Linked DNA regions of Pelodiscus sinensis. The protein of the gene in region 1 purifies or fractionates together with the protein of each later gene. This does not show direct contact. Links are inferred from orthologs where the notes say so. Each region holds a gene or a part of one and is shown on either strand. Other genes may lie near its edges.

The links.
Region 2: the proteins of LIMK2 (region 1) and TTC1 purify together in Homo sapiens (affinity purification with mass spectrometry; 3 studies listed by BioGRID and IntAct, counting the BioPlex papers as one, with this or other methods). This does not show direct contact. The link is inferred for Pelodiscus sinensis from reciprocal best matches to the Homo sapiens genes LIMK2 and TTC1.

Annotation. Positions count from the first base shown.
Region 1 is NC_134725.1:8,458,032-8,465,976, forward strand, and holds the start of LIMK2 (LIM domain kinase 2), read right to left. Parts: upstream 3,036-7,945; 5' UTR 2,885-3,035; coding exon 2,869-2,884; intron 1-2,868. UniProt on the Homo sapiens protein: Serine/threonine-protein kinase that plays an essential role in the regulation of actin filament dynamics. Acts downstream of several Rho family GTPase signal transduction pathways.
Region 2 is NC_134727.1:15,204,126-15,212,264, forward strand, and holds the start of TTC1 (tetratricopeptide repeat protein 1), read right to left. Parts: upstream 3,177-8,139; 5' UTR 3,024-3,176; exon of another isoform or gene 2,854-3,023; intron 2,156-2,853; 5' UTR 2,132-2,155; coding exon 1,829-2,131; intron 1-1,828.

The DNA.
Region 1 (7,945 bases):
TAGACTTCCTGTTGGACAAATCAGTCTGTGCATAAGATACTGATTCTTTACATACATCTCCCTCTGTTTAGTATCATAAGCATACAACATACTGTACACAAGAGCCTTTGCCCCAATCAGTTTAAAGGCACAAGTTACTGCACTGCAGTTAACTAACAATGACAGTCATCCAGAGGTAACATACAGGACTTGTCAAATTCACTTAAGTTCTCAGTAATCACTTACCTAGCAAGTGAACATTAAACAGATGTTGCATTGCTGTGGTAATGAATGCAACAACAATTTAGGAGAGCAAAAAGTGAAAAATTCTATTTTCAACTGAAGTGATCACTTGTTGACTAAGGTATGAGGAAACAATAAGGATGAAGGAGACTACAGAAGTATGGTCAGGGTGGTTTATGCCTTAGGCCCTGATCTTACAACAGTATGTAATCAACAAAGTATGCCATTGAACTCAAAATCCCCCAATGAAAAGAAGAATGCCCTGTGATGAATGAGCAAAGGAAATGCCTCATTACTTAAGTGTACCCTTTGCAGATAATAAGACAGAGAGAGCCCTCAACGACAAAGATATTAGACAAAGATGCAGTCAGACCAACTGGGTTTTACCCATGGAAGCTTATGCCCTAATAAATCTGTTAGTCTAAGGTGCTAAGGGGACTTTTTGTTTTTACAGATGCAGACAAACATTGCTGCTACCCCTCACTTTTCAAAGCGAGAAGAGTTTAAAAGCAGCTGTGAGCAACCTGAGGACCACACACAGCTCATTGGGGTTTTGAGTGGCGCCCATGAGACAATTTGTTTACCATTGCTCGCAAATAGGACTGCCAGATTCCTCCAGTTTTAATCTGTTTCATTTTTCCCCTACCAATATAACCTGCATGTAAAGCAAGGGCACATGAAGTGAGGTGCATGCTGATAGTACATAACATTGGCTGAGAGACAAGGATGTTAACATGCATATATTAAAGTAAACATGTAACTGCTGAAAGTTTGAGCAATTACACATGGGGAGGGGGGGGAGAAGGGGACACTTGCTTCCCCAGGAGCTGGTGCAGACAGGGAGCTGGCTTGTACCAGCTCCCGCCTGCTCCTCCAGGCAGCTGCCTCTGTGTCAGAGGCAGCAGTGAGGAGTGGGACAGGGAACCACGCACATTAACCACTGAATATCACCCTCTCAAGCTTGCTGTGTGTGCTGCACAGCCAATGTATCTACAATATGCCTACTAGGCAGGTTGGGAAATTCTGCTGAAAAGTTCACTAAAGTTTCAGAAAACAGTGTTATAAAAGATCAATATTTAAGACTAAGGGGGACCTGTAATAACCAATGAAAGAAACAAGAGGAGATTGAACAGGAAAGTTACATTATCAAGTGAGACATTTACAGTCTTTCAGCTTAAGTAACAGTGCAAATTGAGCTTCAAGTTGATGCCCAGATTCCACTGGCCAGAAAAGGATGTCAGAGGCCGGTGAACATTAAAATATATGCAGTCTGCAAATAGCAGGGTCACTCTGAATTCACATACATATCAACGATGCTGCATGCAGCAGCTAACGGAGCTGCACACTCAGCTTTCAGTTGTGCCTAATAATGACCTAATAATGTGGACTTCTGTGCCCTGCTAGTCTGCAGTCACAGCCTAAATCAGTCTCTCCCCCACCCAAAACAGGGAAGCCTTGGAACTTTACTTCATTTACAAGTTTAGGACCTTCACAAAGGTATGCATAAAGATGTTACCTGGCTAGCGCACTACCATCTACATCCTATACCATCTACATCCTAATGACTTAACAGACCAAACAATGGGTACTTAGAGAAAGTGCAAATTGTTCTTACCAGCTTCATGTAGCATGAACAAGCCTAACTTTTTTCCTCCTTTTTCCTTCTCCCCTCCACCATGCCCTATTTATTTTGGAACTGGACCTTTAATAAACTCCATTCATCTGAAGAAGTGGGCTGTGCCCACAAAGATCTCATGACACCATCTACATATTTTGTTGGTCTTTAAGGTGCTGTAGGACCATACATTGTTTACATTGCAGCACCCCCTTCCCGCTAACAGTATGCCAGAGAAAAAAGCAAGCCTTACAGTCCAGCACTCAAGACAGATAGCATGACTGGCTGCCTCCGCCAAGCCATGAAGGTGGCCCTGGACACGCAGGGAGCACATGAGCAGAAGCTATACAGCTGGTCCCCAAGTTGCAAACGGCCGACTTATGACCGTTCACAGTTACGACCAAAGCTGTTGTAAATGGCGCACCCCAAGTTACAAACACGATCCGCGCTTATGAACAGCGTGGTCACATGTAACTCAATGGGGTCCAACTTACGAACAAACCGAGTTACGACCAATTGCTTGGCCCGTAACTGGTCCCTAGGTCAGGAAGAGGCTGTACCAGGTTCCAGCGAACTGGCTAACCCAGACTGCAGGGTGCAGGGCTTGCCAGTCTCAGGGGAGGGGTTGGTGCCAGACTGCAGGGGGGGAGGGGCAGGGCCGTGCCGGTCCAGGGGAGGGGCTAGCCCCCAGGGTGCAGGAGAGCAAGGCTGTGTCAGTCCCAGAGGAAGGGCGGGACCGGACTGCGGAGGGGCGGGGCGGCGCCGGACTAGAGGAGCGGGCGGGGCGGTCCCTGGAGAGGGGGCGGGGCGGTCCCTGGAGAGGGGGCGGGGCGGCGCCGGACTAGAGGAGGGGGCGGGGCGGTCCCTGGAGAGGGGGCGGGGCCGATGCCCTCGGCCGGGGAGGGGGCTGCAGCCCGGCGCCCCGCGGGTACCAGGGAGCGGCCCCAGCAGGCAGGCGGCCCGGCCCGGCGGCGGAGCCGCGCCCTGCAGGCGGTCGGGGGAAGCGCCCAGACCCGAACTCAGCCCCTCACCTGGCGACCCCGCCATCGCCCCCAGCCGGTCTCCAGCCTTCCGTGACGTCAGCCTCTACGGGGCGCGGGGTGGATCAAATGCACCTGGCCCGAGGCGGGGCCCGCCCTTTCCCTGCCGCGGGCCAATCACAGCCCCGCCCACCCCTGGCAGCGCCGCCTCTTTATGGTCACGGGCCAATCTCCGACCGGCCCATTGATAAGAAACTCACCCCCCCACTCTCCCCGCCACTTCCGCGCCACAGCCCGCCCTCTTCTCGGGAGGGGGCCAATCAGAGCTCAGCTCTGCTCAGTCCCAGCGCCTCCGGAACGCCGCACGTGCGAGAGCAGCTGGCGGCCTGGGGGCGGGGCGTCAGCCAGACGCCGCTGCAAGGGGCCGGGGCTCAAGCTGCCTGCGGTGCCGATGTTTGGCGCCGTCCTGTTCCGCCCTGTTGTTAACCCGGAGGGGTGCGGTGCCTTGACAGGGTTACTCCGCCCCCCAGCCTAGCCTGTTACCCTGCGGGTTTGTTTGTTTTTTAATGTTCCTCTGAAATCTCAGGTCTGCTCGGGCTACTTCTACACTGCAGGCTGCTTGCCCAAGAACTGTTTTACACACGAGGTCTTGTGCAAAGGGTCTTCCACAAGAGCGCATCCACACGGCCATGTGCTTTTGCACAAGGTGTCTTTGCCAGTGTGGACTTCTCTTGTGCAAGAAAGCTCTGATGGCCGTTTTAACCGTAGGGGTTTCTTGTGCAAGAAATTCATGTTGCCTGTCTACACGGCCTTCTTGTGGCAGAGCTCTTGCACAAGAGGGCTTATTCCTCAGGGGAAGAGGAATAACTCTTCTGGAAGAAACCCTGTTTTCTGATGCTGGTCTATAAACTTACTTGTGCAAGAATACGTGTGCAGTGTAGCTGCTCTGCAAGGTTTTGTGCAAGAACAGCTGTTCTTGTGCAAAAAGCCTGCAGTGTATACATAGCCCTAGTGATAGCATAACTCTTTCAACCATGACAGTGGCATGCAGGCAGAACTCCAATCAGGCCATTCACAAGTCCCCCTCCTTGAGGAAATTCACCCCACGTGTAAGAGAGCTTCCTGATTTCCAAAAGGTTAATACTACACGCAGTCCCCGGGTTATGTACAAGATAGGGACTGTAGGTTTGTTCTTAAGTTGAATTTGTATGTAAGTCAGAACTGGTACATAATGTAGGGGAAACTCTAGCCAAACATTTCTCCAGAGCTCAGTTTTATTCTCCCACACCTCACTTCCCTCAGTCCTTTATTCTCAAGCTGAGGTGTCTGCTGAGAAAAGCCACTCCGCGTCTCCCTGGTCTGCTGGGGGGAGGCGCTAGCTTCGCGTCTCCCTGGTCTGCTGGGGGGAAGCGGCTAGTGCGGGGTTGCCTCACCCCATTTTTAAGTAGGGATCCGATGTAAGTCGGATCCATGTAACCCAGGGACTGCCTGTACATTTTTTCAAGACATAAGGAATGAAGTAAAGGAACCTCTGCTTTTTTACTTTCTCTATTCAAAGAGGCATAATTTAATCTTACAGATCATAGAATACTTAGAACTGAAAGGGACCTTGCATCATGTCCAGTCCCCTGGACCAAACACCTAAACCAAGAGTGGGGAACCTAAGGCCCGGGGCTAAAAATGGCCCCCAACGCAAAAAAGGTTCCCTACGCACAACCTCCCCCATTCCTGATAGATAGGCATCTAATCTGCTCTTAAAAATCTCCAGTGATGGAAATTCCACAACCTATGTAGGCAATTTATTTCAGTGCTTAACCAGTTGGAAAGTTTTTCCTAATATCCAACCTAAACCTCACATGCTGCGATTTGAGCCCATTGCTTCTTGTCCTATCCTCAGAGGTTAAGGAGAACATTTTGTCCCCTCCTAGTTGTAACACCCTTTTAGGTATTTGAAAGCTATGTCATGTCCCCTTTCAGTCTTTTCTTTTCCAGACTAAACAAACCAAATTCTTTCAAACTTCCTCCATAGGTCACTAGAAGATTTACCTAGTGTTGTTCAGCTTAACAAACTTTTTGTTTTTTGGAAAATAAACTGAAAATGTCCATGCTTCATTTAAATCAATGCTCTGGGTGGGGCTGGTGTTGAGGGGTTCAGTATGCAATGGGGATGTTAGAAAATGTTTAATAATCATGTAACTGCAACCATTCTTAGTAGTTACATGATTATTCAATGGTCCTTGGGGGCAGTGCCAGCAGCCAGTGCATTCCTGGCTCCACTCCCAGGCATCCCCCCATCATCCCATGCTGCTGCCTCTGGTACAGAGGCAGGATGGCAGGTGGGTGCACCCTGACATCCCAACAGAGGTTCCTCCAGCATCCCATGGATGGGGAAGCAGGCAAGACCTAGTTTTTAAACCAGTACCTGGTCTGGACTGGTTCCCTCTTGCTGCCCCATGTTGCTGCCTCTGTATCAGAAGCAGCAGTGTGAAGCTGCAGGTGGCTCCCCAACAGGCTGGGAGTGAGACAGTGCACAGGTCCAAGTTTTTAATGCAGAGCATGCAGAGGAGGGAGGGAATTTGTGGTTAATCACTACGGTTAACTGATAAGCACTTACTTAAATGGTTATCCATCTAGCCACTAACCTCCCCAGTATGCAGGCTGCCCTGGGGAGAGAGGAATTGTTCAGCCCCCTATCACTCCAGAAGCTTGGGGCCAAGTGAGAAGTACCTCCCCATGGCTGCTGCAGCTCCAGCAGGCATAGCCTGAGGAGGAGTGTATGTCCTCCAGCTTGGACAGGTCCAGGTCGAGAGCCATCTTCCCCTACGCTCTCCAGCAAGAATGAGGTATGCAGCAAACTGCACTTTCCCCTCGCTCCCCAGCAATGTCCCCCTACAAATTAGGGTGGGGGGTAAGGATATTAAGAATGGGTAATACTCTAATCCGTAGGTGATATAAATTGTATTGACTACATGAACCTACCCCTGCTGCGCCTCTGTAGTTTAAATGTAATAGGAGCTGGGCTACCAGAGCTCCCGGCTCTTACTATATTTAAACTGCGGAGCCACAGTGGCCATAGCTCCTGGACATGGCCTGAGCCAGGATTGAGTCAGGATTGCTCAGTCCCAGCTCATGCTGGGTCAAGCAGCCTCTGTCTGTGGGAAGAGAGGGGGTCCTAACTCTGAGGCTTATTGGGTAGTTGGGTTCTTGCTTACATCCCTAGTGGAGCAGAGCGTGGGGGGGTAGGAAGGCTTCAGCCCTCCCCCCACTAAAGGGCACCTGTGGGGTTGACAGTACCTCCACCCTGCACCTCTCACCTCACTGGTGATTCTGTCTCTTTTCTGTGTGGTTTTATGAGAAGCAATCCTATTCCAGGCACAGCCCATTTTCCTGGCACAACTAAACCCTTATCTTGCTTTAAGTTATATGAGGAAGTTGTATACTAAATTTGGTGGTCCTACCTCTTCCTATTTAGTTCTTGAACAAACACACAGACAGAGGGATGGCCAACTCTCTCAGATATACAGTAGATCTTTTCTAGACCTTTAATAATTTTTGTTGTTCTTCTCTGGACCTTCTCCAATTTCTCCACATCCTTCATGAAAGGCAATGCCCAGAATTGGATACAAAGACTTCTCGTGTCTTGCTCACAATACCCCCGTTAATGCATTTCAGAATCATGGTTTGTTTAGCCTAGAAATAGCTGGTATAGATATATATATATATATATATATATATACTAGCACAAAAGCATCTTCAGCTCTAAGCCTAAAATACAGCAGCCTCAAAGACTGTTTCATTGCTATTTATCGGAGACAGCAACAGCTGGTTCCTTCTCTGAGTGAAAAATACATCATGGACATATATCCTACAGTGCAGGTGTACAAACAGCAGATCTGATACTGCTAACACTTTCCACAATATATGGATATAAAATAACTAAATTTTTCTGCCATTATTCACAGTACTGACTACTACAGTGATAATTCCAAGTAACACAGGGCATGGGAACTGCCCCTCCTTACAAAGAGGGAATCCACATAAGCTTAGGTCAATGTAAAACCATTTTTTTATTCTAAATCACTTTCACAACAGTGAAAATTAGTGAACAATAAAGGGTTGCACTATATGTGCCATCTTTCTCTAACTGCAGGCCATGTGCAGTCTGAATACAAGGGAGGAGGAAATGATACAATACAAAATACATACAAAGAAAATAATCAGAAGCATTAACACTTAATCTCATTCTTGGATTGTGAGGAAATTAATGACTAAGTCTTGTCATTGCAGCCGCTTCAGCCTGCACCTCTTCAGCTTCTCAAGAGCAGCCGGCAAACAAAAAATATATAAAAATTTAAGCTTAAAACTTTATATTTCAAAACAAAAATGTTATTCTGGTTTAATACCTATTTTGTTCCTGTTACAGCTGAATTTTTCACTGTCACCTTGAAAGGATTATAGCAGTGTCTCACAATAATAGTAAAAGGGAAGGAAGTACAAAATCCCTTTTATATTAGCAGGTAAAATTTCTCTTTTTGCCAGCAGGTGGGGCTGTCTCTCAGTAAAACATCATGGCAGTGAAAAAAGTTTCATAATGTGTGTTCAGTTGAGGATAAAAATGCATAATTTCAAAAATATCCATTACAGAAGTCAATTAGAAGGTCTGAAGCTTCTGAAGTGCCTTCACTGTTTAAGCAGCATTTTAATTACCTATACTCAGTGGATGGACCCAACCAGACCTTGCATCACTGCAGAAAACAGCTTTGCAAAATCCTGTTTCCTGAGGAAACTTTTGAGGCATGGAAACAAAACCCCTACCAACTTTCCTCATCCCCCCCACCACTCCCTCCCCATACTCATCCACCTCATCACTGATGGATGAACAGTTTCTGTTTAGGCAAGTAGGTTTCACTGCTACTGCTCACAGTTGTCATGCCCAGGCACTTCATACTTGTAGAGGAGAAAAAGTCTAGCTCCTGAAACAAGTCAATGAGTTAATTTATATTGATTTGTTTTGTCAAATACCATGATTTATTGCCCAAGAAGTCACAAAATTCCTTTCGACAGCAAGTCAGTCTCTATTAATGATCTGAGTCAAAGAAACAGTATCTCAAAATAAAAATAGAAGAGC
Region 2 (8,139 bases), on another chromosome or scaffold:
GGAATTCTTCAACAAACAGACTCAGAGATGGACAGGTAGGCAGATATTTCTAAATACATAGATAAATAAGAACATAAGAATGCCCATCAGACCAAAGGTCCATCTAGCCCTCGTGTCCAGTTTTTCGACAGTGGCCAATGCCAAGTGCAGGGACATAACATCTAAACAACACAAATTGGGAGGACGTTAAATGAAGAGTCACTAGTATTTTGCACTACTGTAGCACCTTTTGTTAGACAATGTCAAAGTAGATGGCAAATAATAACATTCCCAATGCTCATTCTAGAGATGGAAAAAATGGAAACAAGAAGGGTAAAGTGATTTGCCCAAATCTGGAGAGGAAATCATTTGAGGAACTCCTGAATCCCAACCCTGTTCTCCAGCCACTAGACTTAGCTTCTTCCTACTGGTTAATTTCTATTATTCATTTTTTACTAGAAATTAGGTATTCATTATAGGAACTTTCAAACAGCCTTCAAACTATATTATTAAATTATTTGTACTGTGCCTGGAAGCCTAATAATCAAATTGGATTCCGACCCCTACCACTGTGCTAGGCATTAAAAAAACAAGAACGAGAGTAAAAAATATATCACCATTGTCTCCATCAGAGGTGGGCAAAATACAACTCACTGGCTGCATCTGGCCCACTCAGCTGATTAGCAGGCAGTATATGTTCAGCTGCCCCTCCCTGCATTTTGCTCAGTCCTGTAGCTGAGCTGCTCCCAAGATCCTCCTGCTAGCTGTGCAGAGAAGGAAAAAGAGGAGTGTTGAAGTCAGGGTTTCCCCTGCCTCTGTACCCCATCTCTGCAAAGCAGGGTTTGGGGAGAGGGAAACACACTCCAGTCTGAAGTATGACGAGTGACTGAGAAGCATGTCTGTCTTAAGAGGCAGTGCTCTGTTCCTAAGATTTCTCCACCAGCCAGGTCTCTCTGGGCACATCTACACAGCAGGGCTAAAGCCGAAATATGATACGCTACTTAAGCTACACAACTGACCATCGCTCAAGATGAAATAGTGCCAAAAAGTGAAATAAGCTATCTACACAGCAGGAAGTCTGAGAAAGAGCACTCTTCCTCTGACTTCCCTTACTCCTTGTAAAATAAGAGTTACAGGAGTTGGAACAAGAAGTCCTCCAGCTCACCATTATGTCGAAATAACTGCTTGCAGTGTAGATGCAAACTATGTTATTTCGGAATAATGTCAGTTATTCTGAAATAACGCTGTTGTGTAGATGTACCCACTCACACACAAATACACTCTTTCCATCCCCCAATATTAGGGATGTTAAATTGCAGTTATCTGACTAATCAATTTGTACTGATTACACGATTAGCCAATAAGCACCATTCTGCAGAGCCACAGTGGGGGTAATCATGCTATTTTTTTTTTTTTTGCAGTGTTTCTTTCTACCCAGTCAGTGATTAGAGAATAGTCTTAAACAGCAAAAACAGTGAAACTGCTGTCAAATATACAAAGTAAAATGAAAAAGCAAAACAGTCTTGTAGTTATAATGGGCTTAGTTATTACTTATAGCAAAAAAAGATTAAAAAAATTCACACAGAAAGCAGAAGCAAAATGAAGGACAATGTAGCACTTAAAAAAAAAAGCACACAGAAAGCATTTTTTTTTCAGCTGACATTGTCCCTTTAGGGTATTCTTCATAATACAAAAAAAGTTAAGTGAATTAACTTGCCAGTTTCTTTTTAAAAGCATTAAAAGTAGCATTCATAAATTTAATTTGCACATTGAATGTAAAAAAAGAGAAAATGTTTAGAATTTTAAAAATTGTTAATACATTAAAACAGATAATCTCAAAAAAGGTTACCTGTTTTTCTTCCTCTGGCATGTTTTTTTCCAGTTCTAATAAGTATTCTTCATCTAAATCTGCATGCTTCTCCTGTTCCATATCTGATTCCTTTACCTCAAAGGAGTCCTTACAGTCATGAAAGCACTCCTCTGCTGCTCCAGCCTCTTTGGCAGAAGAATGCCTGTCTCCCTGGTCCAGGTTTCTTTGAAAATGTCCATCTTTGAAACCAACTGTCAAAGGACTGGTGCTCTCTGATGATTTCTGATCAGAAAGCTTTAAGCCACGGAGCAATTCTTCAGGTGGACTGGATTCTTCATTCATTTTGGGATCTCATAAAGGATTAAGCTTTTGAAAATAAAGGAGAAATAATAATCCTCAGTACGTAGAGTACACATTTTCAAAGTACTTCATGAATTACAGTTTACCCTTACACTGCCCATCTCTTGGGTACGTACAGACAAAGAACTGATACATAGCACTGAAATTACTATCACTTGCCCAAAGCAATCCTGTCAACACTTATACACTGAACAACTTTGCTTACAACAGTGCCACTTGCCTCTACTCCCATAGTTAAATTTGTGCATGGGCGGTAAGTGCTCACCACAGTGGGCCCTAGCTCATCACTGCATTGTGACAACTCCCTTGCATACGCAGCAGTTACTCACGCCTCCTCTCTCTCTTCATCACCATCCCTGGATGCCTACCGACCCTGCAGACAGGATCATCACGCCTCACCCAAGCCAGGCTTCCCTACCCATTCTCACACAGATCCACTGATGCAGCAGCCCCACACTTACCCCTGCTCCCAAGCCCCAAACACCCCCACATCAGCATGCCTCTGACCTGCCATCCCCCACAGCCCCTACATCAATTTCCTTCCCAGTCGCCCTCCACTTTCTCCAGGCAATCCCAGAACAGCGTTGACCACGCTCCTCATCCTTGGGCCCCTCAGTCACCCCAGATCAGCACCCCCCCCCACACACACACTTGCCAATACCCCCGACAGCCAGGCACCCCAGATCAGCAGCCCCAACACTTGCCCCAAGTCCAGGTCCCCCGCCCCATGAGCTCAGTCCCCAGGAACGCTGCGAGGTGATGCGGGCAGCGCCCCGTGCCCATACAGCTGGCAGGGAGGGGTACCCCCAGCACAAACCGGCTTCGCTACAACCCCTACTGCCGAGTTCGACTGACGTCCCCTCTAATCACTGACCCTCCGCGCCCATCACTTCCTGCCGCGCCCGGCCAATAGATGTTCACGGGCGGGGCGGGGCTTGCTGGGACGGAAGTCCTGTGACGATACCTGTGACCTAACAATTACTTCCGTGGCAGGGAGGAAGGAGTAAGCGGGAGGGGTTCTTGCTGTCTGAAAGCGGACGAGGAAGAGGCGTAGGGGCCCGTGACGTCACCCAATGTAGCCATCCCAGTTGAGCGCGACTGGGAATTTCCGTCCGGAACGTGTCAGGGCCGCCATCTCGGATTCGCACAGGTGGCGGCCATCTTGTGTTACGGCAAACCGTGTGTTGGCGCGAAGGGCGTGTGCGGTGGTCACGAGTCTCTCTCGTGCCCGCCTGCCTTTGCTGCCACGATCCAACTGCGGGACTCGTGGCCTGCCCTGGCAACCCCCAGCCTTCGCAAAAAGGCAGAACACGCCCCTAGCTCTAGCGACCGCCCAGTGTTAATTCACCTCAGGGCTAGTGTACGTGTCTTTGGGAGGCCCTCAGGGCAAGCGCAAACTTCTGCAGAACCACGTGGCCAGGGAGCGCACTTCTCCGAAAACTAACTGCCTCAGAGCTGCAGCTTTCCAGCACTGACCCTCGCGAGCAGTTAACCCCTGGGGTTGCCAGATGGTTTAAAAAAAACGGACAAAAATGTTTCAAGGAAAAATAAAAGCCACCGGGGAAAATTTGTGGAGGGAGAAGAAGGGAAAAAAAGAGCTGTGTGGCGGTGCTGTCCCTTGGAAACACTGCCTCAGTGTTTCAAAGTGGCAGCACCACACAGACGATCCCTGGATCCAGCACATCATTTCCCCGGAACCCGGGATCACCTAGGGAGTCTCTAGCTGCCTCCGGGTTCTAGGAAATGCTGTGCGGAACTATGGTCAGCTCAGGACTCCTAGGCTCCATGTGGCATTTCAAATTGGCAGCGGGGTCAGCGGGGGACTCTCTGTGCTGTACTGCCACTTTGCAATACACAAGAGCTGCCCCTGGGGACTCTTGTACATTTCAAAGCTGGCATACTGCCTGCAGCCTGGAGTCAGCTGGACTTCCTGCTGGCCCCAGGCTGCACCTGGCATTTCACATTCCTGCTGGGGCACTTGTACATTTCAAAGGAGGAAGTGCCTATTGACTAATTGAGTAGTCGATGGAAATTCTATCAACTAGTAAAATAACCAATAGTTAACATCTCTAGGACAAATGATGAAAAACAGGATCAAGGGGTGCAGGTCAAAGGTTTAAAACAAGGGAGCAGATGGGGACACTGAGCAGAGAACTTCAGACAGTGCCCACTGCTCTTTGAAGCTGTCCAAGGAAACAGTAGACGCCGCCCAGAGGAACTCTACCTGGATTGTGAAACTAGGGAGGAACAGAAGGAGGTCCCACAGTTGCAGAGCACCCCCGCATCCAACATTCTCCTCCTGGTATTATATATAACAGATTTTGCCAGAGGCAAGAGTAGGTTGCTGAGAAGGTCTTGTGACTTTGTGGGGCCATGGATGGGGAGTACGTGAATAAAAAGGTGAGGGGAAAAGTGTAGCCAGAACCTCAGCAAGAGGTCTTGAAGGAGCCAAAAGAGGGGCTGCAACCTGATGCATTCCAGATATGCATGTGCCAGGTTTTCCCTCACACCTCAAACGTGGCAGGCATCTGGGTTGGGGGTGAACTGTGCCAGGTGCATGCCCGTGCTCACAGCTTCAAGGAGAAGCCGCCAACTGATGACTCAGTTGGGCTGTGGGATTAAGGTGGAATAAACATTGGCCCATCTAGGTTCCTCACCCTAAACAAATCTTAGATAGTCCATCCATATGGTGTCGGGGTGGGACACGAGGGTAAGGAAATGTAACGTGTGGATCACAAGCGTGTACAGGTGGTCTCTGGGCGCAGTTCAGAAATAGACTGGTTGCAGATCCTGTAGCTGGCTGGGGATCCAAGGATGGCAAGGTTGGGGTGGGGGGGACACGTAACAGGGACCCGAGAAAAAGGGAGGACGTTTTTGCAGTGAGGGGGGCAGGGCGTACTCTCTCACAGGGCTTGCTGCAGAAAATCGAGAATGGGCTGCAACAAGGTCACCTTCACTTGAATCATGGGCAGGGGGGTTTAAAGGGTGGAAAGCTCCATGCACCAAGCGAGCACACGGGGATCCTCCCAATCCCCCCTGTCGTAGTCCAAGAGATCTCCGACTTTGGTGGTTTCTGCCAGAATCAACCTCAGGTGCACCGAGGGAGACTCCACCACCTGAACGCACAAGGCTGGATTGTGAAGCACAGGCTCCACGAGGAGGTCTGATCCCTCGGTGGCCACAATGAACCTGGTCGCTGCACACAGCTTCCAGGTCTGAACGAGTTCCTGGTAGAACTCTGGTAGCTCTGAGAGGTCTCCCCTGCAGAGACCCAGCGCAGTCCTGGCCAGAAGAACTCCAAGGCTATCCTCTAGAGCCGGGCCAGGACCTTTGGGGCCAGGCTCAGGGTGTTGAGCCAGTGTCAGAATATGGACAGGACTAGTTGGTTCAGCACCAGCACCTACCTCTGCAGGGAGAGACACTGGAGCAGTCCTGTCCATCTCCACAGCCACTCAGCCACCCTGGCCTCCAAACCCTGCCAGTTCTCCTGCGGGGAGAGATGTGTGGCGGATAGAAAAATGCCAAGATAAAGCAGTGGACCCACGCTCCATCTGACGACCTGAAGCATGGGTGGGAGGGAGCCTGCCTGCCACCCATCCCCAACCATTAGGCCAGAGCTCTTGACCCAGTTGACCTGGACGGGGGAGGCCACCAAGTAGACAGCTTGGCAGGACTCCACCTGCACCAGGTCGCCCAGGTCCTAGACCATAAGGAGTACATCATGGGCATACGCTGACAGGATGAGCCGCAGCTCTAATTCTTGGAGCACCAACCCCGTCAACCTGTGGTGGAGGAGTCAGAGGAAGGGCTTGATCGCCATAGCGTACAGCTGGCCCAACACCGGATACCCCTGGCATACTCCCCACCCGAAGCTGACCAGCTCAGTCATGGTCCAGTTGAGCCTGACCAAACACTGCAAGGAGGCGAACAGCACTGGAGAAAGCCCACAAAAGAGGGAAAGGCTGTCAGTCATCCCTGCACACACATTCCCTGAGGCCGTGCCCTCCTCTGTGAGCGGCGACCAGAACAGTCTGCGACCCACAGAAGGGGGATGTCCTGGGTGCAAGGCCATGTATAGGTTCCATAGCATGCCCTGTCTCACAGGGGCCTCGATGTGCCCAAAGGACCATGCTGCCCAATTTCACACCCTCTCCCCCCCACACACACCACAGACAGGCAGGCAAGGGAAGTGTCCGTCCATAGTGGGATCCCCTCATGGGATGCAGAGGAGCCGGGAGCAGCCTGGCCCTCCCTGGGGTCTGCACACATAGCTGTGGCTCGCTGTGCTGTCTGTGGGAGTGACAACTGCCTTGCACGTGCAGGCACGCCTGTGTGTTTTGTGCAGCACTCCTGGGTGTGTTTGGGGTCGTGCCTGTATCCTTGTGGCTAGCCTGCTTCCAACCGGGAGCACCCTCTCTCTCCCCGGGGGGCAGGACGTGTGTGCCCTCCCCTGAGCCTGATATCAGGATCCCAGACGTGTTCAGGGGCTGCCTGTTGTGTCTGCGTGCCACACTCTCCCGCTGCATGTGGTTGCACGTGCACAGACTGCAACACCATGTGCAGCCCGAGCAACACTCACCCCCTGCTCCCTGTGTGCCCGCCTCCTCCACCCTGTGTGTGTGTGACAGCTCACCTGAAGATCCCTCCCAGACATCCAAGGAGGCCTGGAAGACGTCCTGGCTGACAGTGACCAGCTTGAGGAACAGGGTCACAATCTCTGATTCCTGCTCCTCTTCCTCTGGCTGGGGCTGGCCCTGGCCCTCCAGCTCGTCCTCAGGGGCGACCTCTGGGCAGATGACAACTGGGGTTTCCTGCCCTGAGCCCACCATGCTGGGTGGGGAAGCTGTTTCTCCATGCCCTAAGACGTGGTGGAGGTCAGTATAGTAGGGGCAGGTGTGGGGTCTTGCCCCTGAGCATGCACTGCACTTAGTGGCCCTCACATACCCTGACAGAGCTCCTTCACCTCTCTCCGGACCTGCTCCATGGTCCAGGCAGGGTGACCTCACTCCATCAGGGATACGGCCATCATTGAAAAAATCTCGGCGTTCTGCCGCTTGGCTCAGGGATCTTGGAGCGACTCTTCCTCGCCCCACAATTTGAGGAGGGTTGCTATCTCAGACCCGGATCAAGTGGAAGCATTGGTCCCCCTGGGGGGGATCCTGGGACCCCTGCGGCTGCTCCCTGGAAGGTCATGGGGAGCCTCAGGGGGTTTCCGGATCTGTCATGTGTGGCAATCCAGTGGCAAGAGAGAACCGCACGGTGAGGGACCTGCTCTCTGGCTGGCTTCCTGCCACAAGGCTTTTCCAGGGTGCCTGCAGCTTTAAGGGGGGCCACCAGACAGGAACTATAGAGTTCTGATTACCTTGGACGGAGTGGCCACCAAGGCACCTTTTTTTTTCCTGGAGGCCAATTCTTGCTCAAAAACTCCTGTTGCCCATCCACACACACCATTTTGCACAAGAACTCTTGCACAAAAAGGAGTTATTCCTTGTAGAATGAGGAATACCTACACTGGAAAAAACCCTCTGTTCTTTTATTTTACTTGCGCAAAAACATGCTTTTTGTGTGTATTGTAAGATCTATCTCTGGGACCACAGGGTGGTAGACTCAAGCACTCCCCAGCCCCCACTCAGGCAGTGCCCTGGCAGCCAACACCAGTTGCTCCAGGGATGGGAGCTGATGCCTGCATTAGAAAGACAGGAGCTAAGGGACACCTGAAGGTAGTGATGGGGGTTCTGGAGTGGCTTAGAGTATGATCGATAGGATACTTGCTGGGGGAGCTCAGGGTGGTTGGTTCCAGTCCTGTCCTCCACCTTGGGAGAAACCAGACATCCAACATGGGATAAGGGACCCCCCCCCCCCAAGGTAGGGAGGTGGTGTGGGTCCTTGAGTGAACTAGGGGATACAGCATTTGCTGGGGGGCAGCCAATACCAATTGTCCCAGGGATGGAGCTGGCTCCAGCATTAGGAAGGCAGGATAAGGGACACCC